7 linked regions of the Mus musculus genome follow. The protein of the gene in region 2 interacts with the protein of the main gene of each other region in a pairwise test. Links are inferred from orthologs where the notes say so. Each region holds a gene or a part of one and is shown on either strand. Other genes may lie near its edges.

What was found.
Region 1: the proteins of Tfip11 (region 2) and 9930104L06Rik interact in binary tests that used the Homo sapiens proteins (3 or more experiments, as listed by UniProt). The two-hybrid records come from large-scale screens. The link is inferred for Mus musculus from reciprocal best matches to the Homo sapiens genes TFIP11 and AIRIM.
Region 3: the proteins of Tfip11 (region 2) and Tnnt1 interact in binary tests that used the Homo sapiens proteins (3 or more experiments, as listed by UniProt). The two-hybrid records come from large-scale screens. The link is inferred for Mus musculus from reciprocal best matches to the Homo sapiens genes TFIP11 and TNNT1.
Region 4: the proteins of Tfip11 (region 2) and Traf3ip3 interact in binary tests that used the Homo sapiens proteins (3 or more experiments, as listed by UniProt). The two-hybrid records come from large-scale screens. The link is inferred for Mus musculus from reciprocal best matches to the Homo sapiens genes TFIP11 and TRAF3IP3.
Region 5: the proteins of Tfip11 (region 2) and Poll interact in binary tests that used the Homo sapiens proteins (3 or more experiments, as listed by UniProt). The two-hybrid records come from large-scale screens. The link is inferred for Mus musculus from reciprocal best matches to the Homo sapiens genes TFIP11 and POLL.
Region 6: the proteins of Tfip11 (region 2) and Il16 interact in binary tests that used the Homo sapiens proteins (3 or more experiments, as listed by UniProt). The two-hybrid records come from large-scale screens. The link is inferred for Mus musculus from reciprocal best matches to the Homo sapiens genes TFIP11 and IL16.
Region 7: the proteins of Tfip11 (region 2) and Cep57 interact in binary tests that used the Homo sapiens proteins (3 or more experiments, as listed by UniProt). The two-hybrid records come from large-scale screens. The link is inferred for Mus musculus from reciprocal best matches to the Homo sapiens genes TFIP11 and CEP57.

Annotation. Positions count from the first base shown.
Region 1 is NC_000070.6:124,940,048-124,942,604, reverse strand, and holds part of 9930104L06Rik (uncharacterized protein C1orf109 homolog), read right to left. Parts: intron 2,240-2,557; coding exon 2,060-2,239; intron 253-2,059; coding exon 134-252; coding exon of another isoform or gene 23-133; coding exon 1-22. UniProt on the Homo sapiens protein: Part of the 55LCC heterohexameric ATPase complex which is chromatin-associated and promotes replisome proteostasis to maintain replication fork progression and genome stability.
Region 2 is NC_000071.6:112,325,048-112,329,168, forward strand, and holds the start of Tfip11 (tuftelin-interacting protein 11), read left to right. Parts: upstream 1-1,321; 5' UTR 1,322-1,426; intron 1,427-2,437; 5' UTR 2,438-2,623; intron 2,624-2,914; 5' UTR 2,915-2,923; coding exon 2,924-3,135; intron 3,136-4,121. UniProt on the Homo sapiens protein: Involved in pre-mRNA splicing, specifically in spliceosome disassembly during late-stage splicing events. Intron turnover seems to proceed through reactions in two lariat-intron associated complexes termed Intron Large (IL) and Intron Small (IS).
Region 3 is NC_000073.6:4,509,476-4,512,975, reverse strand, and holds part of Tnnt1 (troponin T, slow skeletal muscle), read left to right. Parts: intron 1-689; coding exon 690-711; intron 712-2,595; coding exon 2,596-2,659; intron 2,660-2,907; coding exon 2,908-3,024; intron 3,025-3,340; coding exon 3,341-3,418; intron 3,419-3,500. UniProt on the Homo sapiens protein: Troponin T is the tropomyosin-binding subunit of troponin, the thin filament regulatory complex which confers calcium-sensitivity to striated muscle actomyosin ATPase activity.
Region 4 is NC_000067.6:193,181,047-193,184,546, reverse strand, and holds part of Traf3ip3 (TRAF3-interacting JNK-activating modulator), read left to right. Parts: coding exon 1-80; intron 81-2,529; coding exon 2,530-2,665; intron 2,666-3,178; coding exon 3,179-3,241; intron 3,242-3,500. UniProt on the Homo sapiens protein: Adapter protein that plays essential roles in both innate and adaptive immunity. Plays a crucial role in the regulation of thymocyte development.
Region 5 is NC_000085.6:45,554,670-45,557,564, reverse strand, and holds part of Poll (DNA polymerase lambda), read left to right. Parts: intron 1-1,469; coding exon 1,470-1,643; intron 1,644-2,345; coding exon 2,346-2,474; intron 2,475-2,895.
Region 6 is NC_000073.6:83,648,899-83,652,398, reverse strand, and holds part of Il16 (pro-interleukin-16), read left to right. Parts: coding exon 1-520; intron 521-1,349; coding exon 1,350-1,518; intron 1,519-3,500. UniProt on the Homo sapiens protein: Interleukin-16 stimulates a migratory response in CD4+ lymphocytes, monocytes, and eosinophils. Primes CD4+ T-cells for IL-2 and IL-15 responsiveness. Also induces T-lymphocyte expression of interleukin 2 receptor. Ligand for CD4.
Region 7 is NC_000075.6:13,824,308-13,828,497, reverse strand, and holds the start of Cep57 (centrosomal protein of 57 kDa), read left to right. Parts: upstream 1-1,390; 5' UTR 1,391-1,597; coding exon 1,598-1,642; exon of another isoform or gene 1,643-1,956; intron 1,957-4,190. Other genes in the region: protein FAM76B, read right to left, coding at 437-523. UniProt on the Homo sapiens protein: Centrosomal protein which may be required for microtubule attachment to centrosomes. May act by forming ring-like structures around microtubules. Mediates nuclear translocation and mitogenic activity of the internalized growth factor FGF2, but that of FGF1.

The sequences.
Region 1 (2,557 bases), on a different chromosome or scaffold from region 2:
AAGGAGACACTCACCAGGACATCTAGAACAGGAAGCAAGGGACAAAGCATCAGGTTTATCAAGGCCCAAGAGCACGGAGGGGGTGTGTCTAACCTCTCCAGAGAGGCAGCACAGGACTGACGGACACCAGTACCTGACACAAGAGTTTGGCACTCATTTTCTGAAATCTGGTCCCAGGCCTTGGGCAGTGCTTGGATGCTGGCCAAGTCTCCCCAGTGGATGGAGGAGAGGAGGTACTTTCTCTTCAGGTACCTTCCCAGAAGTTAAGGACTGCTCAGAAGAAAAAGGAACTTACAAGATATCTGTGTCACTAGGTCATATGCTCTTATGGGACTACTGTTGAATGTGGTCCATCTCAGTAATGTGATTAGAAATCAAGGCAGGAGAGTAGAGCCAACCAGGGCCTCCAGCGCCTAGCCTATGGCAGTGCTTAGCGATATCAGGGTTAGCGGCGCCACTAGCACACCTAGTACCACTATTGCAGTTATAATAGGAAACAGAGGGACAGGAGGAAGATCGTCCCTACATATCTAGATTGGGTGACAATCTCCTTTGTCAACTTGTCTGGATTTAGAATCGTCATGGAAACATGATACAGGTTGCATCTGTGATGTTGTCTCTAGAAAGGTTTAACTGAAGTGGGAGGACTCCTCTGAATGTGGACGGTGTCAGTCCACAGGCCGGGGTCCCAGAATGAACAGAAAGTGAACAGAGCGCCAGCAGTCAGCAGTCCCTGCGTCCTGATGCAGGCGCAATGTGACCAGTGGCTTAAGCTCCTGTCTCTGTGCGCTTCCCTCCGTGACGGACATATCCCTCAGCTATGACCTGAAATAAATCTGTCTGTCCTGCTTCGTGTTCGATATTAATCACAACATGAAAATCAGTAACACAGTGGGCATTGCTGGTCCATGTTCAGCTTTAAACTTGAATTTGGAGTTCACTAAGCGAGCCAGCTGGAGGCAGCACAGGAAACTGAGACTCAAGACCAGGAGCAAAACCAGGGTCAGATGACAGCCATGGGCACGAATGGAGAAAAGGTCAGGACTGCGGCTAATTTCCTGCTCTCAGGCTTGCTTCCCGCCATGCCAACTGTTCTTCAGAACACAGCACTGTTAAGCACAGGCCTTGACCACATGGTTCTGCTTAAAGCTTCTGAGAACTTTGACTTCAGAGTAACAGCCAAAACCTTCAAGATCCTTCTCAAAAATCAAGGCCCTCTGTCACTCTCCTCCTGCCCGGCCCTGCCCTGCCCTTGCCCCCACTGGCTTTATGGCAGTTCTTACATGTACCAGACAAGCTCACGCCATGTAGCCTCTGCCTGGACCACTCTTCTTCCAAACACCCACATGGCTCATTCCTTCCCTCTTGCAAACTTGGCTCAAATGCTGTGAGCATCATTGTCTCAGGATGTCACTGCCTCATGGGTCCCTGCACTGACCACACTATTAAAATCACATTCCCCCTCACCTTCTCTGCCTTATTTAACACTCACCACATCTGACACTATGCAGTCCCCCTTTTTATGCCTGCTCCCAGCACTTAAGAGTAGTGCCTAGCAGATAAATAAACTCTAAGGAATGACTAGTTAACAAAAGACAAGTGCAAGAAGAATCCAAGTCTGAGCACTAGAGAACTGCAACGAATTATACAGCCTGCTGACCCCGTGAATTATACAGCCTGCTGACCCCGTGAATTATACAGCCTGCTGACCCCGTGAATTATACAGCCTGCTGACCCCGTGAATTATACAGCCTGCTGACCCCGTGAATTATACAGCCTGCTGACCCCGTGAATTATACAGCCTGCTGACCCCGTGAATTATACAGCCTGCTGACCCCGTGAATTATACAGCCTGCTGACCCCGTGAATTATACAGCCTGCTGACCCCGTGAATTATACAGCCTGCTGACCCCGTGAATTATACAGCCTGCTGACCCTGTGAATTATACAGCCTGCTGACCCTGTGAATTATACAGCCTGCTGACCCTGTGAAGTCTGCACCTGCTGCAGCCTCTAGGGGCGGCTCTGGGCAGTCAGTCAGGAAGCACTCGAAGGATATGAGCTTCCATAATGTCTGTCGATGTCCTGCAGCCACTCCAACATGTCAGCCACAGAGGGGCTCACAACTGAGGGGCGCAGGACGGTGTCAATGTCTAGCACAGCCGCATGCTGCTCGTAGGCCTGAAACACCTGCTCCACGTGGCTGTTGATGGTGTTACGGACCTTGAGGAGGGTGGCTCTGTGGGAAAAGGAGGGTGTTAGGCAGTATCCTAAAAAAAGATAGGGGGTAAGCCTTCTCAAACCACTACTGTCCTGTTAAGTTTTGTTTCAGAGGGGACTCAAACCCTTAGACGTGTTAGGGAAGCGGTCTACCACTGAGCTATACCCTTGTTAATTTAGTATGAGGGAAGGGCATGCACATGACAGAGTATGCTTGGAGATCAGAGGGCTACTTTGTGGCATCCACTCTGTCCTTCCACCTTTCCATGGGCCCGTGGATTGAACCCAGGTCATCAGGCTTACACGGCAAGTGCCTCTACCCCAGGAGCCATCTTAA
Region 2 (4,121 bases):
CCCACTGCCCGCCCTCAGCTCTCTGTATCAGTTCTTAGATGCTTTCATTCACGTGACCATAAAACCCCAAGAAGGGACCCTGATCCCACAGTATCACATTGGCTCTGACGGACTCCCCAAGAGCCTCACTAACAAATCCTCCTGCATGTTTTTTGGTTAGGTTTTATTGCTGTATTGTAAAGACCATACCCAAGAGCAATTTGGGAAGGAAACTGATTTATTTGCTTTACAGATTACAGTCCAAAGACATTTTTAAAAAGAACTGAAGTAGAAGCCACGGAGGGAACGCTGCTTATTGGCTTGCTCCCTGTGCTTACAGCACCCAGGACCACAGGGGGAGGCCCCACCCACAATGGGCTGGGCCGTCCCACATCAATCATGAATCAAGCAAACGACACCAGTCTTGCCTACAGGCCATCCGATGGAAGCACCGAGTCCTTTTCCTAGATATCTCTAGTGTGTATCAAGCTGACAGGGGAAAACAAAAATAAGTCCAGCCAACAACAAAACCCACCAGGACCCAGCCTTTTAGGGTATTAGAGAAAACAAATTAGTTTCAGAACCAGAGATGGCACCAGACTATGTATAGATTTGTAAGATGTGTAAAAAGATGACATATGCTCTTTGTGGGTCGCGTTGGCACACGCCTTTAAGGCCAGCACTCAGGAGGCAGAGGCAGGCAGATCTCCCGAGTTCGAGGCTAACCTGGTCTACACAATGAGTTCCAGGACAGTCAGGGCTACACAGAGAAACCCTGTCTTTCTTTCTTTCTTTTTTTTGGGGGTGGGGGGTTTCGAGACAGGGTTTCTCTGTGTAGCCCTGGTTGTCCTGGAACTCACTTTGTATGTAGACCAGGCTGGCCTCGAACTCAGAAATCCACCTGTCTCTGCCTCCTAAGTGCTGGGATTAAAGGCGTGCGCCACCACGGCAGGATGAGAAACCCTGTCTTGAAAATTCACAAAACCAAAACCAAATCAAACCAACAAGAAACCCCAACTCCGTTCTTTCCCAGCGACAGAGAAATAACTAGAGCAAAGAGGAGAACAATAAAACTGCTTCCTGGAGAGAACTCGACATGGGGTCGCGAGGACATTTTAATCTCTCAGTGTCCTCGTGACGCTGGTAACGCCAAGTAAGACTCCAGTGCCTGGCGACGGCTCGCCCTGGAACGAGACGGCCACTCAGCCTCAGTTCCGATGGGAACCAGAAGCAGCGCGAGGCGGGATCACCGGCCCTTCCGGGTTGCAGACACGCCCCCTCCGGCGTGAAGTCGCTGCCGGGGCAACAGCGCGCCACTTCCGCCTCTGAGCGATGACGTATTTCCGATGCGCCGGTAAAGGCCACATCCGGGTTTGGGCTGGCGGGACCCTCGCAGATTCGGGGACGCTGGGCGAAGGCTGTGTGGCTCTCGCGGATGCTGAGCGAGGTGAGCAGGCGGCGGGGTGGCGTCCCGGGAGCGCGGGCTGAGGCTCCGAGGCTCCGTGACGACGGCTTTACGGTTTCCCTGCGCTCCGGGCCCGCTGCTGACATTGAGCTGAGCGTCTCCTGTCCCCTGTGCTGGGGAGGTGGCGGTGCTGTAATTGAGTGGGCCTAGGGCTTCCTGCTCCTTTGAGGAAACTCAACATGTGCTGGTTGCTGGGGTCGGAACCTGTTGAGTTTCGCCGGTGCATAGTGAGGAGGAGGAGGAGGAGGAGCAGCGGGGGGGGGGGGGAGCTGTTAGTCACCGCGGAGCCGTTTTCACGCTGTCAGTCACTGGTGTCACATAGTGAGGATGTTACTGTGCAATGCACACAGTGTCGGGTCGGGACCTTTGAATGTGATAACCACACTCACAGGTGTTCATAGAGGCGCGATTTAGACTCAGGCTGGGGTGTTAAGTGTTAATGATTTTCACAATCATTTTGAAGGATTCACTTCGCAGTCCTGACTTGTAATGAGTGTGAACCTGAAACCCGATCATGGAGTGGAAGAAGATGCTTTTTTTTTTTTTTCCTTTTTCCTCCCTTTCCCCCCGTTTCTGTTTTTTGTTTGTTTGTTTGTTTTGTTTTTTGTTTTTGTTTTCAAGACAGAATTTCTCTTTAGCAGCCAGCCCTGGCTGCCCTGGAATTTGCTTTGTAGACCAGGCTGGCTTTGAACTCAGACCCCCCTGGTCTCTGCCTCCCTACTGCTAGAGTCAAAGATGTAAGGGTGCTGTTTCTTGAGCACCTACTGGGAGCGGAGCTTTCGTTGTTGTTTTGTCGGTTTTGAGACCAGGCTGGCTTTGAACTTAGAGAGATGGATCTGCCTCTCTGCCTCCAAAGTGTTGGAGCTTTTGTTTTTCGAAAGTATCATCTTAATCAGTCCTTACAAGCTTCTCCTGGAACTGAATGAATGCAGTTATGAGAGAGAGAGATGAATAGCTACCTGGGTAGAACACTGTTTTTTCCCTACCCTCTAGGAGTGACTGCAAAGTGGCATTCAGAAAGACTGCAACCTTCCAGTACCGTAGAAGCCGTTCAGGGAAGGAAACCTTCAGTCCCGTGGAAATAGTATTTCAGAAAATGCTCTGAAGTTTCCCTGGAACTGCAAATTGGCTAGATACAACTTTTCCTGGAGAAGTAAAAAGACCAACCTGGTTTCTGAGGTAATAACATTTAGAGCTGTTGCTTCCTTTCTGTGGCATATGTGCCTGTCATTCTGTGGCCCCGCCCCACGCGTGCATGGTGATTGACTCTGACAAGGCATTGTGCGTTAGGCCCCCTTCGGATGGCTGGGTCTGACTTGTCTCACTTGTCACGGAGCTGGTCATTTTGCCCTTTGTTTAATGGCTGCTTTACTGAGTTGGATCATGAGGCTCATTAATAGCTTTTTGACACTGGCGGATCTTCTGCTAGCCCCAGGTTCTCACAGTGCTGTTCTTGTCACCGTCCTCTAGTGACTGGCCATGTCTCTGTCCCACTTGTACCGGGATGGCGAAGGCCACCTTGATGATGACGATGACGATGAGAGGGAGAACTTTGAGATCACCGACTGGGATCTCCAGAATGAGTTCAACCCCAACCGGCAGCGCCATTGGCAGACCAAAGAGGAGGCCACCTACGGGGTGTGGGCGGAGCGAGACTCGGACGAGGAGAGGCCCAGCTTTGGAGGCAAAAGGTACTGTGTGCTGGGCTGCATGCCCTGGGTCTGGAGGATCGGGAAGGCATCCCAGAAGAGTTTTCTGCCCTTGTAGAGTCCGGGTGCTACAGCATCTTGCTATGTGTTGTTGAGCTGGGGTGGCGAGCTCCCCCTCAGCAGTTACTGTGTGATGGGATCAGGGCTACTTATGGATAGGGAAGTGCTGACCCACCACAGGCATGGCAGCTGTGGGGCCATGCTGTGTCAGGGAGCACTCACAGGGCACTAGAGAACAGGGAGTTTAGAGAGGGTGCTCTGGAGAAAACGCTGTTGGACCAAACGGAGGTAGAAAAGTGAGTAGGTCCACAGGGGAGAGTGGTAGTACAGCCTGGGGTCCACATTAAGATGCTGTCTCAAGTCTCCCCACCTAACTACACTCAGAATGTTTTGATTAATTTTACTTAGGATTTTTATCTGTTTGAGTTGTTCTGACTTTTATCCTTGAAATAGTATCTAAAACAAACACTGTGTGTGTGTGTGTGTGTGTGTGTGTGTGTGTGTGTGTGTTTACAGGCATGCTAGATAAGTGCTGTACCACTCTAAAGCAAAGCAGACACTAAGCTAACACAGTCTTTTCAGTTGTAAAAGGGGGCCCAGTTTGATGCCTCGGAGGTTGTTGCCATGCACACCTGGCTAGCTGGGTTCAGTCACCAGATTCCTACAGGGAAGGGGAAAGGGACGAGATGCTCTACAAATTGTCTGCACAGAGCAATAATGGCATTTTTGAAAGCGTCCAAAGGAAGTAAGATTATTACATCCTAGTCTGAATTTATACTCAACCCTACTGACAGTGGCAAATCTTCAGTTATAGTTTGAATCGAACAGACCCCACGAGTGTAAAATGTGGGCTGGAAGAGGACCCAGGAGCAATTGAGATTGAACTCAATTGCTATTGCAGACCTGAGTGTGGCTCCCAGCCAGTGCCCACCTCAGGCAGCTCACAAGTGCCTCTAATTCCATCTTCA
Region 3 (3,500 bases), on a different chromosome or scaffold from region 2:
CTGACTTCAAACTTGCAGCAACCTTCCTGCCTCAGCTTCTTGAGGGCTGGGATTACAGGTGTTCACCACCACACTCAGTTTGGTTATTTATTTATTTATTTATTTATTTAGGGTTTTTTTTTTTTTTTTTTTTTGAGACAGTCCCCACCTGTAGTTTAAGCTGGCCTGAAATTCGATATATATCTTAGGTTGGCCTTGAACTCATAGCAACTCTCCTACCTCAGCCTCCTAAATCCTAAGATCACAGGCATGAGCTGAGAAACTTGAACTTTAGGGAACCACTAAGAAGTGTGTGGGGGGTGAGAAATATGTGTCCTAAGGGAGTAGGGGGCTGGGGATAGAGATCTGGGGTCCCTGAATGAAGAGAAGCAATGGGCTCTCTTTCAGTGCTGGGTAGGATGGGGAAGGCAGGAGACAGGGGTAGATAGAATTGTAAATTGTCCAGGCGTTTGGTCCTTTGGGCTTTTAGAGGTCTGGGTGGGGGTGTCCCCACACCAGTGGAGAATGTATGTCTGATGCGAGTGACCTTTTTTCCCCCTTTTCTCCACCTCAACTTTCCTTCACTCTCCTAATGTCCTCCCCCCAGCCTTGGGCTCGCAGGCTGCTTCTGGGTTTCCTCTTAAGGATGCCAAGCCTCTCTCTACCCAACTCTCTCTAATTATCTTTTTGTATTCCCCCATTGCCACCAGAAGAAGAGCGCCCCAAACCCAGGTGAGGTGCTACAGGGTGGGTGTGGGTTACAAGCCTATCTTCTCATGCTCCTCCACCAAGAGAGACAGGGCAGAGAAATCAAAAGGCAGAGAAATCAGGGCTTGAACACAGCCAACCTTAACTCTTAAAGCAAGAAGTTGAGGACCTTCCTACATTGTGAAACAGGTCAGATATAAAAATAACAGCCTGGGTTCTAGAAAACCATGCAAGGGGACTCTGTGTTGGCCCAGGGCCAATCAAGGAAGGCTTCCCGAGGAGGTGATAACCTGGACCCTCTCGATAAAGACCTTGCTAGCTGAAGGAAAGTTGTAGGCAAGGACAGTCATTTCTTACACTCAAAGTGAGTGGTTATGTATAAAACCCACTCTGGGTGCAGAACCAGGCCATCGTGAGAGTATGGTTAAGCCAGGGAGGCCAGTACAGGCTGTGGAAGCTAACTGAGCTAAGAGGAGGCCCGGAGAGGCCAGGGCTAGAGCTTAGGGACTCTTGGAGGAAGGAACGCAGTTACAGAGGTTCCAGGTTGGAGAGCTACCAGGGAAGGAATGCAGGAAGTGAGGGCCCTTTCCAAGGACTTTTGGGACCGACAACACATGGTCCTTAGAGACACCAAGTGGATGAGCCCTGCCAAGGCAAGGAATGTTCTGACACATGAATTATTCGGGAAGTTTCTGCTAACTTGGGCCTTGGGAAAGAGTGTTTGCCAGGCAAGGTGTTGCTGCATCCTCGGAAGAGTAGTCTTGGTGATTCTGAGTTCAGCATCTGTGGGTTTTGCTGATCTTAAATCATAGCTATTAAAAGAAACTGTAGGTGACCCGAGCACGCAGACGTTTTTCTTGTTACAGCTGCGCACTGTTGCTGTTAAACAGCCAGTAGTACAGCGTTAGAGCAACCAGGCAACTGTAAGTTGCTTAGAGAATAGCGATCTTTAAAGTCCATGGCCTTTAGCATGCGTGATCCCCGGGCTTCATCCTTACCCTTGAAATAAAATCTTCAGGCCTGGAGAGATGGCTCGGTGGTTGAAAGCACTGACTGCTGCTCTTCCAGAGGACTTGGGTTCAGTTCCCAGTATCCACGTGGTGGCTCACAAACATCTGTAACTCCAGTTCCAGAGGAGCCGATGCCTTCTTCTGGCACTTGGCCATACACGTGTTACACAGGCAGCAGGCAAAACCTCATACATACACATAAAATAAAATGGTTAAGAAGAAAGTGAAGTATCTCAGAGCAGTGCAAAAGGAAGAGCAGTGCTTTTAAACTGTAAGGCCTTTATTACGTATTTTGCGTGTGTGAGCACAGAGGTGTGTATGGTGCAAGTGTGGGGTGCAGAGGATGATTTACAGGGGTCGGAACGCAGACAATCAGGCTTGTCATGGGGGTCTTTGTTTGCTGAGCTACCCCTGCCTGCTTTTTATGCAGAGCATTCAATATATGGCCTCGTATGTTTGAGACAAGCATTCCGTCTTGAGTCACCCGCAGCCCCTCACTGGGGGAGTCGCCCCCTGCCTCTCCCTGGGGGATTCTTGTCAGGCATTCTACGGCCGAATCTCATCCCTAGCCCTGTTGTGATTTTTCATTTTGAGGCAGTGTCTCTTAAGTTTCCATGGATGGCTTTAGATTCTCTCTAGACCAGGCAGGACTTGAATTTGCCTCAGACTTCCGAGCAGCTAGGACAACAGATCTGTGCCACCGGGTCCTGCCAGTTTTTACAAGTATGTCAAAACAGGCAAAACAAAATACTCAAACTGTATTTCCCTGACTGTGGTCTCACACAGACTCGGGGGCCGGTGGGGGTGGGGGTGGGGGGTGGCTGTCATTTTGAACAGCGTGTGGTAAGGCAGAGGAGGGAGGCCAGCCTGTTGATGATCTCCAATTCTATCGACACAGCCGTCCTGTGGTGCCTCCTTTGATTCCCCCGAAGATTCCAGAAGGGGAGCGTGTGGATTTTGATGTAAGTGACAGATGTCCTACCCCAGAAGCAGCTGCAGGATTCTTGGCGCCTTGAGCCTATTCTGAAAAGTGCCCTTCTATGCTTCCTTCATGAAAACCCTGGGGGTAACCCAGGGTCCTGTTATTAGCAAGGAATGCTTTGCTGACATCTGCTGGAAGCCATCCCAGCTGGCTGTCAGTCATCACCTAGGGCTGGGGTGGGGCAGGCTCCAGGGCCCTGTCCGGCGGCCTCACGGGCTCCCTCTTCAGGACATCCACCGGAAGCGCATGGAGAAAGACTTACTGGAGCTGCAGACGCTCATCGACGTGCACTTTGAACAGCGGAAAAAGGAGGAGGAAGAGCTCATTGCACTAAAAGACCGCATTGTGAGCCGGAAATCCGGGTCCTCTAGTTACATCTATCTCCCGTTCCCTCCCTCCATGTAGTGCTTTGGGGTCTCTGGGAGAAACAGCGGGGACATTGGGCGGGTCCACTCCAGTATCCATTTCTACCAGGAGTGCATTTTGGAGGCGGAGGCAGGAAGATTACCATGAGTTCGAGAGACTGTCTCAAAAAGGACAATTAAATAAAAGAAACTATCCTTATTTCGTTCGTCTACTGGTGGAGGGACAACTTGTGGGAGGGGATAGCCTCCAAGAACCCCCACATTCCCTGCCCCAATCTTCCCCTTAATACCCCTAGGAGAGGCGACGCGCAGAGAGAGCTGAGCAACAGCGCTTCAGAACGGAAAAGGAGCGAGAACGCCAGGCCAAGCTGGCGGTAGGTGTCTGTCCTTTCCCTATAGGAGAATACTTTATTTCCCATTTTGATACTCTCTACGGTTCTCAGAAAGTCCCTGTAA
Region 4 (3,500 bases), on a different chromosome or scaffold from region 2:
TGAAGGAGGACTGGAGGACCCTAGGGGACCAGCACAGAGAGCTGGAGAGCCAACTGCATGTGCTTCAGTCCAAACTACAGGTACCAGGCCCGGCAGTGGGAGAGGAAGGGAGGCAGAAGGGGGGAGAGGGGTCTGCTGAGAAAGGAGTCTCCTAGGTTGGGCCTCAAAGGTTGGATACACGTAACAAGCAGCTTTCAAGTCTTCATCCACTGCCCACTTAGTACCAGACTCACTGTTTTGCTCTGAATCATAAGTGCGTATAGAGGGAATGCCTACACTGTCCATGCAAATGAACTAAGTACCCACTGGAAAGACATTAACCAAATACAAATGCCTGAGTTGGGGCATTCATTGGGTTGATTGGCCTACCAATTGCACACTATTCAAACACCACCCCAGCAGGGCACTCAGTGCATAACTGCCCATTGTTTTGTACATAATAAATGTTACTGGTTTATTTACAGGTACTAACACATCCTGCTGGTGTGTTTCTTAATAAATTTCAGTAAATTCTTGTCATGCTCAAAAGTTCCTACACTTTCAATCTGCCACCTTAGAAAATCTAATTAATCTACATTAATTAATTAATGTAGATTAATTGATTCATTTATAATTAATTTAGGGTCTTTTGTTGCATGGATTAAATGTGACTACTCACACAACATGTGTGGCATAGTCTGGTACATATGAGCACTTCACTCGGGTTAGTAATTACATGGAGGCCTGACATTCCACGCTCCCCAAAGCATAGGAATTAATCCACTTGGGCCAGTCAATCTTCTGGCTAATGAACCACCCCTCAGGAAGGCAGATTCACTTTAAGCCATGCCAAAGAAGGAAAAGTAATTATTCTTTTAGTGAGATCATGTACTTCCCCTTCCTAGAAAGCCTGAGCCTGGTGTGGTCACTCACAGAGTCATGGCCACGCTACTTGGTCAAGCCTGACCAGTCCTCTGAATTTCTCAGAAAAATGTAACTTTTCTTTTTCACATCTTCTTTCTTCCTAACCCTTGCTGAAGCCTAGGTGTGCTTCCACAACACTCCTGGCTTTCTCACTCTTCTTTGATGTTACCCTCTCCGCATCCCCTTTGCCATATGGCTGCGTGCCAAACTGCCGAATCCCCATCCCTAACTCAAAAGGCATGACTTTCTTTCCCTCTTCTCCACCTTTATCCTCCAGGCAGCTGCTGACATTCACAGGATTCCCAATCTGCCTCTGTTGTCATTATTACTGTTTTTGGCTGTTTTGGTTTTTTTTGTTTTGTTTTGTTTTGTTTTGTTTTTAGTCTTCTTCAGAATCTGCTCTTAATATTTTTAATGTTAACCATCTTTCTTATTTTTATTCTCAAGATTCTAATTACATTTCTCCCTCCTTCTCTCTCCCTCCAAGCCCTCCCTATCTCCCTCCTAGCTCTCCTTCATGTTCACAGCCTCTTTTTCATCAATTATTATTTAATGCATATGTGTGCATGCATATATATCCCTGAATATAATCTGTTGAGTCTATATGTTACTTGTATGGATATTTTCATTACCTATAGTTCTCCGTGTAGGATTGAGGCCTCATGGGCTCTCTCCCTCATCTAGTTTGGCACACCCATTGGTGGCCTCCTTTTCCCTTCACATTTGGGCAGCCATGTTGGTGAGACTTTATGGGTATTGCTTCTGACATTACTAGGAGGCACAATCTCACAGAAAACTCCCTGATCTTACAATCTTTCTGCCCCCTCTTTTGCAATGTTCCCTGAGCCTCAAGTATGGAGTTATTTTATAGCTGTATTCATTGAGACCAGAATCCACAGGTATGCATTTTGATTGATAGTGGTTTTCTGTAGTGGTCTCCATCTGTTTCAAAGAGAAGTTTCCTTGATGTGTTCTTAACAAATCTAAGAACTCAGAGAGGAGACCCTATTTCCCTAGTAACATATGGCACCCCAGGTGAGCCTCCCCAAAATCTCCAGTTAACACATAGATTTCACATACTTAGTTTGAAACTTTGAAGATCTGCCCTAAGAGTGAATCTTTACAATTTCCCCAAACATGAATCAGGAAAATATATATATATATTTGATGAAAGAGGGTGTGAGACATTTAGAGGCACAAATTTTACTGGCTACACACAGCATCCACATCTTAACCTCTGCTCTCTTTTCTCATCATGCATAAGGCAATTCTTAGGAAAGTGTTTTGAGGTTTTTAAACCTTAATTCTTTGTGAAAATAGCCTTAACTGCCCCTCTCCCTCAACAACTGGTCATGCCAAAGTAAAAAGAAAGTAAAACATCTAGAAAATTCTGGCTTGATGTGGAGATCTGTCAAGGCATCGAGACATACATATCCCCATAAATATCAAGTCAGAGGCACTGCCATAAACATGCAGGATAGGGCAGAACAAAGAGAAGGGGAGAGCTTCCATTTCCTGACACCCCATCTCAGTAATCCTACTGTGTCCTGTTCCATGGTACCTGTCTGCTCTGTCGCCAGCCACACTGACCTGCTGCTCTGTGGCTCCTCTCCCTCCTCTTTGCAGGGAGCAGACAGCAGAGACTCACAGATGAGCCAGGCCCTGCAGCTTTTAGAAAATGAGCACCAGGAGCTGCAGACCAAACTCGAGAGCCTGCAGGGAGACGGAGAGCAGCAGAGCTCTGAGACCCAGGACCTACAAGGTACTCCTCTTCTTTGAGGTCACAGGGTCATTAGAACCACAACTGAATGGGCTCAGAGGAAGGAGGCTATGGGGAGAAGCTTTGCTCCTCATTTGTGCTTGGTCCCATGATTTCATTTCTCCTTGAGGGAAAGGCAGAGAAATGTCAATCAACCAAAATGAACCTTAGTTGTCCTTCATCTGAGGACTCTGCATGCTCTCTCCTCCAGCTTGACCCTGTGGGCCATACCACAGCTGCTCCCATACTAGTCACATGCAAAGGCCATATTCCTAATTTGAAAGGGAAAGGTTAGTACAAACACAGGCAAGATGAAGGCCTCCTAGATGTGCCTCTGTGGGCTGAAAGGACCCACTAGTGTGTGTACACAATATTGTGATGTTCCTGTGTGAATGCTGGCCTCTCCCTTCAGATCTGAAAGACACCTGACACTCCCAGGTCACAGAGGACAGGACTTACCTCTCATTTCCACCCTCTGGTGCTCTCCTATTTCTGTTTGTATTCTTTCGCTTTCAGATCAACTAAAGAAGTCAGAGGAAGAGAAACAGGCCCTGGTGAGCAAAGTACAACAGCTACAGAGTAAGTTTCCTTTTCAGGGTTCAACCTGCACAGGTGGTTTCTGTTGCTCCTGACCACAGAAGACCTTCGAAGGAGGGAGGGCTGAGCCATGGAGGCTTCAGTGTGTCCTGTTTCTGAGCATCCTCGAGCACACTTCCTGCAAGGGGCTGGGCTGAGGGATCATCTGCACAACCCTCCACAAGTTATATGGTTTCTTTCCCATGTTATTACATTAGCATCTGTCCTTGTGTTTCCTTTCTATGTGTGTGTGTGTGTGTGT
Region 5 (2,895 bases), on a different chromosome or scaffold from region 2:
AATCCCAGCACTCTGGAGGCAGAGGCAGGCGGATTTCTGAGTTCAAGGCCAGCTTGGTCTACAAAGTGAGTTCCAGGACAGCCAGGACTATACAGAGAAACCCTGTCTCAAAAAAACAAAACAAAACAAAACAAAAAAAAAAACAAAAACAAAAAAAAGAGTTTGTAATGGCTGGGATCTACATACAGAGACAAACTGATAGAAGGGGGAGGGGAGGAAAACAGACCAGCATTAGGACTAGAAAATGGGTGCTTAGGGGCTTATTACATACACTGTTTCCTCTACATCTGAGTGTTTTATATGATAAGTTTAAAGCCAGGCGTGGTGGTTCATACGTTAGACTCTGGGGTCCATTGATTATGGACTCTAGGCAAGTTAGTTACTCTGTCAGTTTTCCAATCACTGGAAAGGAATGAACAACTATAGGCCATTCACAGGGGTTTTGTAAGGTTGGAAGATGATCTCAGTAGCACAGAATGACATAGAGTAAGCCCTCAGGCAGTGTGGTGCAGGGAGCCTTCAGTCAGGCAGTGTGGTGCAGTGAGTCCCCAGTCAGGCAGTGCTGTGACCCCAACAGGCAGTGTCATGCAGTGAGCCCCACCCAGGTCAGGCAGTGCTGTGACTCCCCCCAACCCCCGCCCCAGGCAGTGAGGTATAGTGAGCCCTCAGGTAGTGTGATGCAGTGGGCTCCCAGTCAGGTAGTGCTGTGACCCCCTCCCCCAGGCAGTGTGGTGCAGTGAGCCTGCAGTCAGGCAGTGTGGTACAGGGAGCCCCTAGGCAAGCAGTGCAGCGAGACCCCCCCCACACACACACACACACACATACACACACACACACACACACACACGCTGCAGGCAATACAGTGGGCCCGCAGGGAGTGTGCATGCAGAGTTGTGATGTGGTGGTGGCAGTGGTGGTGGTGATGAGCACTGTCATTTTCTCTACCTCTTTTTGTGGTTATTTTGTTTTATTTTTTCTTTTAGAGACAAGAGTCTCTCTCCACAGCCCTGACTGGGCTGGAACTCACAGATCCTCTCTCTGCCTCTGCCTCTGCCTCCTCTGCCTCTGCCTTTCTGCCTCTGCCTCTGCCTCTGCCTCTGCCTCTGCCTCTGCCTCTGCCTCTGCCTCTGCCTCTGCCTCTGCCTCTCTGCCTCTGCCTCTGCCTCTGCCTCTGCCTCTGCCTCTGCCTCTGCCTCTGCCTCTCTGCCTCTCTGCCTCTCTGCCTCTGCCTCTGCCTCTGCCTCTGCCTCTGCCTCTGCCTTTCTGCCTCCAGGAGTTCTGGGATTTAAGGCCTGCCAGGCCATTTTCTCTACTTCTTATTGCTGGTCTCTGGGAACCAAAGGACAAGCTCCATATGGTTGCTGGGCTACCTTTGGGGCAGATATTCTGCTGAAGGAGCCACATTCCCCTCTTCTGGCTCTCCCTTCCTAGCCTCTTCCTCATCCTCCTCTGTGCCACTTCCTCCCTAGGAGGCCTGTAGCATCCCGGGAATTGGCAAGCGGATGGCGGAGAAGGTCATGGAGATCCTGGAGAGTGGGCATCTGCGGAAGCTAGACCACATCAGTGACAGTGTGCCTGTCTTGGAGCTCTTCTCCAACATCTGGGGAGCTGGGACGAAGACTGCCCAGATGTGGTACCATCAGGTCATGCCAGCCCGCCTGCCTCTTAAAGTATTGCTGTTACAGAGTCTCTGCCCACACCCCTTCCTGTTCACCTGCAGGAATCTGGGTCCCTCTGTTTTCCCACCCTGGGCCCTCATGGGAGTGAAATCCAACTACAAGGATGCCAGAGTTCACATTGGTCCCCCTCCTGTCCCCAGAACAGCCATGTAGCTTAGTGTCCTTGACCTGTGGACAGAAACAATAAATACATTACTCTGTCCCACACACCAGCAGGGATTTGCTGTTGTTATGTTTGTGTGTGTGTGTGTGTGTGTGTGTGTGTGTGTTTGTGTGTGTGTGTGTGTGTTTGTTTTAAAAACTATATGTCACCATGTAGCCCTGGCTAACCTAGAACTTACTATGTAGACCAGGCTGATCTGCCTGGCTTCAGCAAGGGACTTTCTCAGGAGCCCAGGCTTTGGGCTCCATGTCTCGAACAGTGGCTCTCAAACTTGGCCATGCCAAGAATGATCTTGGGAGTTAGTGAGCGTGAAGCCCTGACCCATTTTAGACCGAGGAATGAGGGACCAGCATGCCCAGATCACGTCCCACTGAATAGAGGCTGGACTTGATTGGTCCTGCCTTCTGTCTTCCATGGCAGCTGCTGTGACAGCCACCCATGACTTCTGGCCTGTTTATTAGTCCTGGGTCCTCATAGCCTCTTTTCTGGTTGCTTTCTTCCAGGGCTTCCGAAACCTAGAAGATCTCCAAAGCCTGGGCTCCCTGACCGCTCAGCAGGCCATTGGCTTGAAGCACTACGATGACTTCCTGGACCGCATGCCCAGGGAGGAGGCTGCGGAAATTGAGCAGACGGTAGGCACAGCTCGAGCCAACAGCTCCTGAAGCCCTAGCTGGGCAACCCCACAGGCAGCGGAAGTTAAGAGGTCGACAGAGATTGTGTCTACCAGAGCTGTAGGTCCAGGAACCCCAGGTGGGGTGGGCACTGCAGTGGCAGCCCTCTGGTCTCAGGGTCACTAAGCATGAACTCTGGGCACTAGTCGCCTAGCATGGGGCAAGCACAGCCTCAAGGCCTGAGTACAATCAAGGCCTGAGTATGTCGTTCAGAGGTAGCGCTCCTGAGCATGCCTAAGACCCTGCCCATCCTCAGCATCACAGAAAGGGGGAAAAAAAAAACAAACAAAAAACATCTAGTTGGCCAAGAAATCAGGTTTAGCCAAGTTAAAGGTTCAGCTTAGAGCTAGGGGCTGAGTCTGTAAGTTCATGTGCAGGGTTG
Region 6 (3,500 bases), on a different chromosome or scaffold from region 2:
GAAAGCAAGATGGAGGACGATTTTCTGGTCTCCTGGGTCAAGGGGCTACAGTAACAGCTAAGCACAGACAGACAGAGGTAGAGTCTATGTCCACAACCTTCCCTAACTCCTCAGAGGTCAGGGACCCAGGTTTGCCTGAGTCTCCTCCCCCAGGTCAGCGACCCAGCACAAAAGCTTTGTCTCCAGACCCTCTCTTGAGACTGTTGACTACACAATCCGAGGATACTCAAGGACCAGGTCTCAAGATGCCAAGTCAGCGGGCACGGAGCTTCCCCCTGACCAGGACCCAGTCCTGCGAGACAAAGCTGTTGGATGAAAAGGCCAGTAAGCTTTACTCCATCAGCAGCCAGCTATCATCTGCTGTCATGAAATCCCTGCTGTGCCTTCCATCTTCAGTCTCTTGTGGCCAGATCACCTGCATCCCCAAGGAGAGGGTGTCTCCAAAGTCACCTTGCAACAACAGCTCAGCTGCAGAGGGTTTTGGTGAAGCCATGGCCTCTGACACAGGGTTCTCTCTCAAGTGAGTGTCTGTGCCCTGCTTGATCTCCACTGCCCCCATTTTTCTATTTTATATAGCATTTAAACATTTCTCAGACGCACTGGTTAAAAAGATCATTTCATCTCATGTGTGTGTGTGCATGCAGATCTGTGTGCATGTGTGTATGTACACATGTGCACTGGAGTTCTGTCTTCCATGTTAAGAAGTAGTTTACATAATAGCCGACCTTGGCTGGGATGAGAAGTGGGGGATATGTTCAGGCTCTTGGTAATCTGCTCACAAAGATACAGGAGGCGAATGAAAAGTCCACCTTCATCTTAAGGAGCTCTGGGTGAGGCCAGGGAATGCTCCCCAGTAAGAATCTGTCTTGATCTTCACATGGGCCTAGGACCTGGGCAGTGAGTAGGACATTTAGTCTTGTTTCAGCTCAGCCTCTAACTCTAGGAGCAGAGTCCTGGCTTGTACAGCTGCCTCCCTCTTTAGGTAAAGTCAGGAGGTAGGTGAGACCAGCTTCATTTTTGTGAGGGCTAGTAGGGGGTCCAAGGTCTTCTGCTGCAGGGCTGGGTCTGGGTTTTCCCTCTTGAATCAGCTGTGATTTATTTATTGTTTGTGCTGCTGAGAGTGGATATGTCATAACAGAGTTCCCAAATAGCATGTAGCTAACAGAGCCCCTGGCAGGATAGAGTTGATAAAAAATCTTGCAACAGAGAAACCCTGTCTTGAAAAAAAAAAAACCAAAAGCCAAACCAAACCAAACCAAACCAAACCAAACCAAACCAAGCAAACCAGAAAAACAAAATACCCCCAAAGAATCTTGTTTTTCACACCGTGTTATCTCTGCTTGTGAAAGCCTTTCAGAGCTGAGAGAATATTCAGAAGGTCTCACAGAGCCCGGGGAAACCGAGGACAGGAACCACTGTTCTTCTCAGGCCGGCCAGTCGGTTATCTCCTTGCTGAGTGCAGAAGAACTGGAAAAACTCATTGAGGAAGTGAGAGTTCTAGATGAAGCAACATTGAAGGTAGGTTTCCTGCATGCACATCTGTAGGGACAAGGGCTGTTGTTTGTCATCTTAGCTGACCCAGAGGGGAAGTAGCTAAAGAAGTTTACGGTTTGTAGCTTAAGGTTTGTTATGGTGTTGGCTGGCATCAGGACAGGTTTTGTCCTGTCAGTGGTAGAGGGACACCATGTCACTTGACATAGCAAGTGTTAACACCTGATTTTAGCTGGGATGGGAAGTGTTTGTGTGTGTGTGTGTGTGTCTGTCTGTCTGTCTGTCTGTGTCTGTGTGTGTCTGTGTCTGTGTTTTGGAGGGACATGGCCAGGCCCCTTGTCCTGGCATCCTTTGCCATTTTATGGCTGAGAAGGAAGATCCATGGTCACAGAGCCAGGGTGCTCTGACTCTAAGGTCATGCCAAGTGCTATGCCAACATCCCATGGGCTGCTAACCTGGCATGAGTGTCCAGAGAGAGAACCCACATGGTGTAGCACTGCCAGTGGTGAACAGCATAGACGCTTTGGTTATTTCCTCTGCCCACCTCAAGGTGAGCTCAGGAGGGTCTGTGTGCCTCAGCCACATCATCCCGAAAGGTCCACTTCCCATGTAGTCGCTGAGCTCAGCCAATGGTGTGTATCGAGGAAATGGCCCAACCAGAGCTGGAGCCAGCAGTCAGGAGGTGGCCTTGTGAATCTCACTCTCTGGAAACCTCTTAGGCTCTGTACCCTGTACCTGAACTGGGATAATGAAAACTGGGAAGCAAGGAGTCCATTTTTACTGGAAGAATTACAGCTGCCCTTCCAAGGTCAAAGGTGTGGTAGTAAAGTCTGATGAACCCATGGTACCTTGGGGCTGTGGTTTCTCAACCCAGGGTCTCACTAATCACTTGTAGCCTGCATGAGCCATTGATCCCCAGAGCCTGAGTCAATAAAAATAATATGCTGGAAGGAAAACTTCAAGTTCAGAGCTGCCTATCTAAAGGGTCAGTAAGAAGACTTTGTTTCTAGTATGGCAACCACTCACAGGAGAAATAAACACACACAGACACACACAGACACACACAGACACACACAGACACACACACACCCCAACTCCAAATAACCTGATATAAGTGGGTCAGTGTGGGTTGATGGGACCTTCACCCTCTGGTCCCTCCTCTGACCTGGGATCTCCACATTAAGAGATGGAAGAAGACCTGCAAGTCAGGGACTCTGGTAGCTCACAGCCAATGAACTGCTTTGCCATGTTTTTATTTCCTAGTGCCATATACAAACTAGTGGCCCAAGAGCTATGGGCCTGAAAATAAAATTTACTGGATCTTTTAAAGTGTTTGGTTGTCCTAAGTCCTGCTATTTCTGAGTGTTTTGTTTAAAGGGAATGAGCCAGTAGTGGCAGGATTGCCTTCCTCTGAGGTAGCCAATCCTAGTATGCAGATGTGTTTGGCCTGCCCTCTTTGTGCCTTTCACTCATGCCTGTCCACCTTGCCCACGTATGTGACCTCCATCGCTGTTGTGGGCACTGGGGCTCCAGGATTCAGCTTGAGAGTAGAATGGGAGCCTCTGCCTTTGGAGAGTGTGAGAAAGTTGTCCTGGATCCTGACTGGGAGTTTCTGTTTGTGCCTGTTTCACATTTGTACTGCATGTGTGACAGAGCGAGATGCCAACTGGGCCCTTTACTGCTGCTATGCCATGGAAGAAGGAGCAGCCAGCACCTGTGAAACAGCGCTGACCTCTGAGAGGTTGACCCAAAGCCTAGCACCGGCCCTTGTCTCAGAATGCCATGGGAAAGTGGCATCTTCCAGCCTGCAGGGCTCTCTAGCTGACTTTGCAATGTGCAGTCCAGTCTATGGGAAGTGGGTGTGAGTGGGTGAGTAGGAGCAGAAGAGAGCGGGCTTGCTGTTTTACATACATTTGTTTACCCTCGTAAGCTTCCTGTAATTCCTGCGCGATGAAACTGAAGTCTGAGGAGGTGGTAGTACTGGCCCAGCTGGTGTTTAATAAAACAAA
Region 7 (4,190 bases), on a different chromosome or scaffold from region 2:
GGTGGTTTACATGTGAAACTACTAGTTATTTTGTACAATTGCTCACAGACAGCATCCCGGCTTTTATGGGATGGGAGGAGCTCCAAATCAGAGAGCACTCTGTTCCTAAACCAGTCGCTTCGCTTTCCGGGACAGGGAAGCAGAATGCCATCAGCTCTGCAGCTTCGGGTTGCTAGCAAGAAAGTGCAAACACGGGCCCTGCCTCCCAGTGGAAGGAGAGGGCAGTCCCTGCCAAAGCTGGGATGAGAGAGTCTGCACCCAATCTCTGCGACACGGAGGACTGGTGGCCGCTTGGCTCAGCCCCACCCGAGACCGCCAGAAGCGGCCGAGCTAGCCCAACCTGCGAGCAGGCGGGACGCGGTCGACACGGGGCTCGCCCATATAATGCCCGGGCCCTGGCGGGGAGCGGTGCGCTGAACGACCGGCGCCCACCGACCTTGCAGAGCTGTTGGCCCTGCGAGAGCTCCTCGAAGGGGTAGCGCTGCGTGCACTTGGTGCAGGCGTACAAGGCCGACGCCGCCATCCTGCTTTCCGGCTCCTCCGCGCGCGCTCAGGCGGGGCCTCCGGGAACTCGGCTGCCCCGCCCGCGGGCTCTTCTGCTGCTGTGGCCCAGTCCCGGTAACTGCCGGGTCCCCTGCGTCTCCCTCCGCCTCCGCCGCCGTCCCGGGACACCTACTGCCGCCCGCCCCGCCGCTCCCGTTTAGGCCCGGACCGCGGCGGAGGGAGACGAAGCGGGAGCTAGGCGGTGGATTCCGCTTCCTCCTCGGTCTCGCGTCCCTCTCTACGATTGGCTACAGAGAGCCTTACGTCACTAGAAAGCTCCGCCCAGTCCCTGGCCTAGGTTCGGCAGGGAGCGCCCACAAAGAGAGAAAGTACCAACCAATAGGAAGCCGCCGCTCTCAGAGCGCGAAATCCGCTTTGAAAAGATCCCGCCCACAAGCCACGGCCAGTCGTCGTTTGGCTGGTGCGCTTGAGCCCATTGGCCAGGGGGTCCACGAAACGCCGCTTTTTTTCAGTCCTTGGCTTCCATTGGACCATATCCTTAAGCCCCTCCTACTTCTGTTTGTCATTGGCCGAAAGGTCAGTACATCAAATGGAGAAGCAACGCTCTCTGGAGTTTATTCCTGGGATGCTGATGGAGTATGTCAACTTTCCATTCTCCTTTATTCAGCTTCCGTCATCCGCCTCAGCAGGCGCTGAAGGTTCCAGAAGCCCTAGCCTTTGCTTCCTCATCCAGAAAATCCATCCCTTTTCAGACGCTCCCAGAGCCGTCTGTCAACTCAGACGTTGCCGTTCCCGCAGGCTCCGCGATGCGCTACCTTGTGACGTCACCGAGAGAGGAGGCGGGCTCTTCCCTGCCACCAGAAGTTGTCCTCTTTTCTGATTGGTCACTGGAAGGCGTCTATCAAGACGCGTTGCCTTTCCCGTGCGCGCTGAGTGTGGCGTCCTTGTGGTTTGCGAGACCGAGGCTCCTATAGGGTTCGCAGCTCGCCCGCCCCTTCCATCGGGGACTTGGATTCCGCTTGCCCCAGGCGGGCGGCTGTCGAATCCGGAGGAGGAGCTCAAGGACGGCGTCTGGGGTTGCGCAGGTGGGAAGATGGCGGCAGCCTCGGTCTCGGCGGCTTCTGATTCTCAGTTTTCGGTAAGGGGCGGCAATCGCGTGGGTTCCAGGTGGGCCTGTACGGCTCTCCGGGTTGCCTCACTTTTCAGGGGGCCCGCGATCTGGCGTCAGCCCTCGTCCCGCAGGATGGCGGGCTGCCCGAGGCCGCGTGCCACTCCCGGAGGCTGCAACTGTGTTTTCTGGAGCACCTCCTTTTCCACCCTGCGTTCCCTTGTCCTCTCAGCCGGTGCTTTGGAGCGTTGTCCCGAGCCTGGCTGGTGCACTCTCAGGCCCGCTAACACAAAGCTCTGTCGGTCACGTGAGCGTAACGGCCCGTCTCGGAAACTCACTAACAGGTAGGTGTGCAGGTTTGTAGAGTGGCAGCCGCTGAGGCGTCCGTGGTCCCCAGAGTGCGTTTTCGCCCTTGCTGCCGTGCCTCTCTGTTTGTTGCGCGACCCTTGCAGGCGGAGCCCGGGCATTCCCACTTCCCATTACTAGACTCTGTATGGAAAAGTTGCTCTGGAGAAGCGATCGGGAAAATTAAGCCTGCGGGTTTAGTTAGTCACTGATGTTTTAAGAGTGGATTGTGGCGCTCAGTCTTTTGGAAAACGCTCCAATAGGAAGAAATAAGAATTAAATGTGAGAAAACTGGAGTTCTTTTTAGAAATGTTCCTGTACTTAGCCGACCGTTGGTCCTAAAGTTACAGGAAGGAATTGAATAGAAATCCCACTCTGAAGAAGGAGCAAAGCACTGTACTAATTAGATAATTACTGCGCTGCAGGTTTTGATACCAGAGGCGTCTGGGGGAGATTGATTAGCAGTATTAGGGAAGATAGGATCTTGAAAGGAAGATAAGCTAGCTGCGTGTTGAAGGAATTTAAGAGAAGAAAGCACTGCAAGTTTTTTAAGGTATGTGACAAGACAATAGGTAATTTCCGGACACCAGAGGGTAATTTCGAATGTGCAGAGATTATATAAAGGTAGAGTTGATAAAGAAGAACTAGAAAAACAGGTGAAAATTGAATAATGAGGGATGTCAGGAAATTTTCTGGGTAATTTTAACAGCTGATGAGGAAGAGGGCATAGAGATTACCAACACCTTCAGAAAGTCTCACTTAGGAATCTCAGCAGTTTGGACTTTCTGTGGCTACTAGAATTTGTGATAAGGTCAGAATATTTCAAGTTTTTCAAATAGTGGGGTATACCTTTGCCAAAGAACTAGAGGAGATTAAGGAGAAGAGTTGGAGCAAGCATTTGGGAGTTAGTTCCTTGCCAGATAAATGAAAGATAAAGGAAAAACTATCAGAACTAAGTGTCAGCGAACACGTGAATTATATAAGAGATACAGTTGATTAAACTGGAGAAAGGAGAGCTCTCTGCTCTCAAAACTTAGAAATTGGAAACTTAGTTGAACTGCACTGCAGGGCTACTACCAAGGCAGTGCCACCGGGATGTAGTTAATCCCTAGTCCTTATGGTAGCCCCAACAGAAATCTAAAGCCTGTTTAATGGAAAAATGGATCTTGTGACTCTGTGTCTGGAATTGGAAACAGAAGAGAAACTCTTCTTTACTCCACCGTAGTCCATGTATATAAGAGTAGGCTTGGAGCTGCATTGATAAAAAGGTGTCCAGAGAATGCCTTAGTGTTAGGCTTGTGAGCAGGCAACTGAAGGGAAGAAGGGAGCTTTGCAGGCAGAATAATTGCAGCAAATGAAAATAAGAGTGTATTGTGGGTGTTTGAAATCAAAAAAGTCCAGATTGCTGAAAGACTGGTAGGGAGACAGTGTCAAAACACAGTGTCAGGAAATGAAACAAGGGTCAGCCCGGCACTACATTACATGGGAGGTTTATACATTATGGGAAGGATCATTGTCATTAGCAAGCTGTTTGGAAGAGCATACTTAAGAAATGTGCAAAATAGTATTTCACATAATTCAAACTAAAAACATAACTAGCAAAATGGCAGTATAAAAGATTCTAAATATGTTATGGAAAAAGAACCCTGAATGATTTGCAGAGGGTAGATAAGAGGTGAATGAAAATTACCTCTTATTAGGGTTTATATAGAGCAATTTAGTAAATAGCAGTGCCACTTGTTTTGGTATGGTGGGAGAGGAGCAGATTTGGAAACTAACCAAGAATTGGGTTATAGCCATTTTATATTTTAGGTGCCTATTGAGACATCCAAGTAGGCAATGAATAATGTGAGTTTAGAGTTTTAGATTCAGATCTCAATTCTGTATTTTAAACTTGAAAGCTACTGAAAAAAATAAAGAGCTGAGAGTAGATGAGACTTTCCAAAAGAATCCTTGTAGACAAAAAGGAACTTTGAGGACCAAGCCTTGAGGAACTCTGGCATTTAATAAAAGTGGTTAGAAATCCAGGGGGTTTTCAAGGAGAGGCCTGTGGGATTAAGGGACAGTCCTTGTTGCTTCCTCCACTGAGGGTTTAGGTGAATGACAGCAAAGTGAGCCATGCTTCGGAGAGATTGTTGAAGTTAGCAATGGAGAGTAATGGGTGTGTTTGATGAGCTGTTTGCGTCTTTGATAGTTTTTATTAATTGTGTGCATGATGATGCCCCTACCTCTT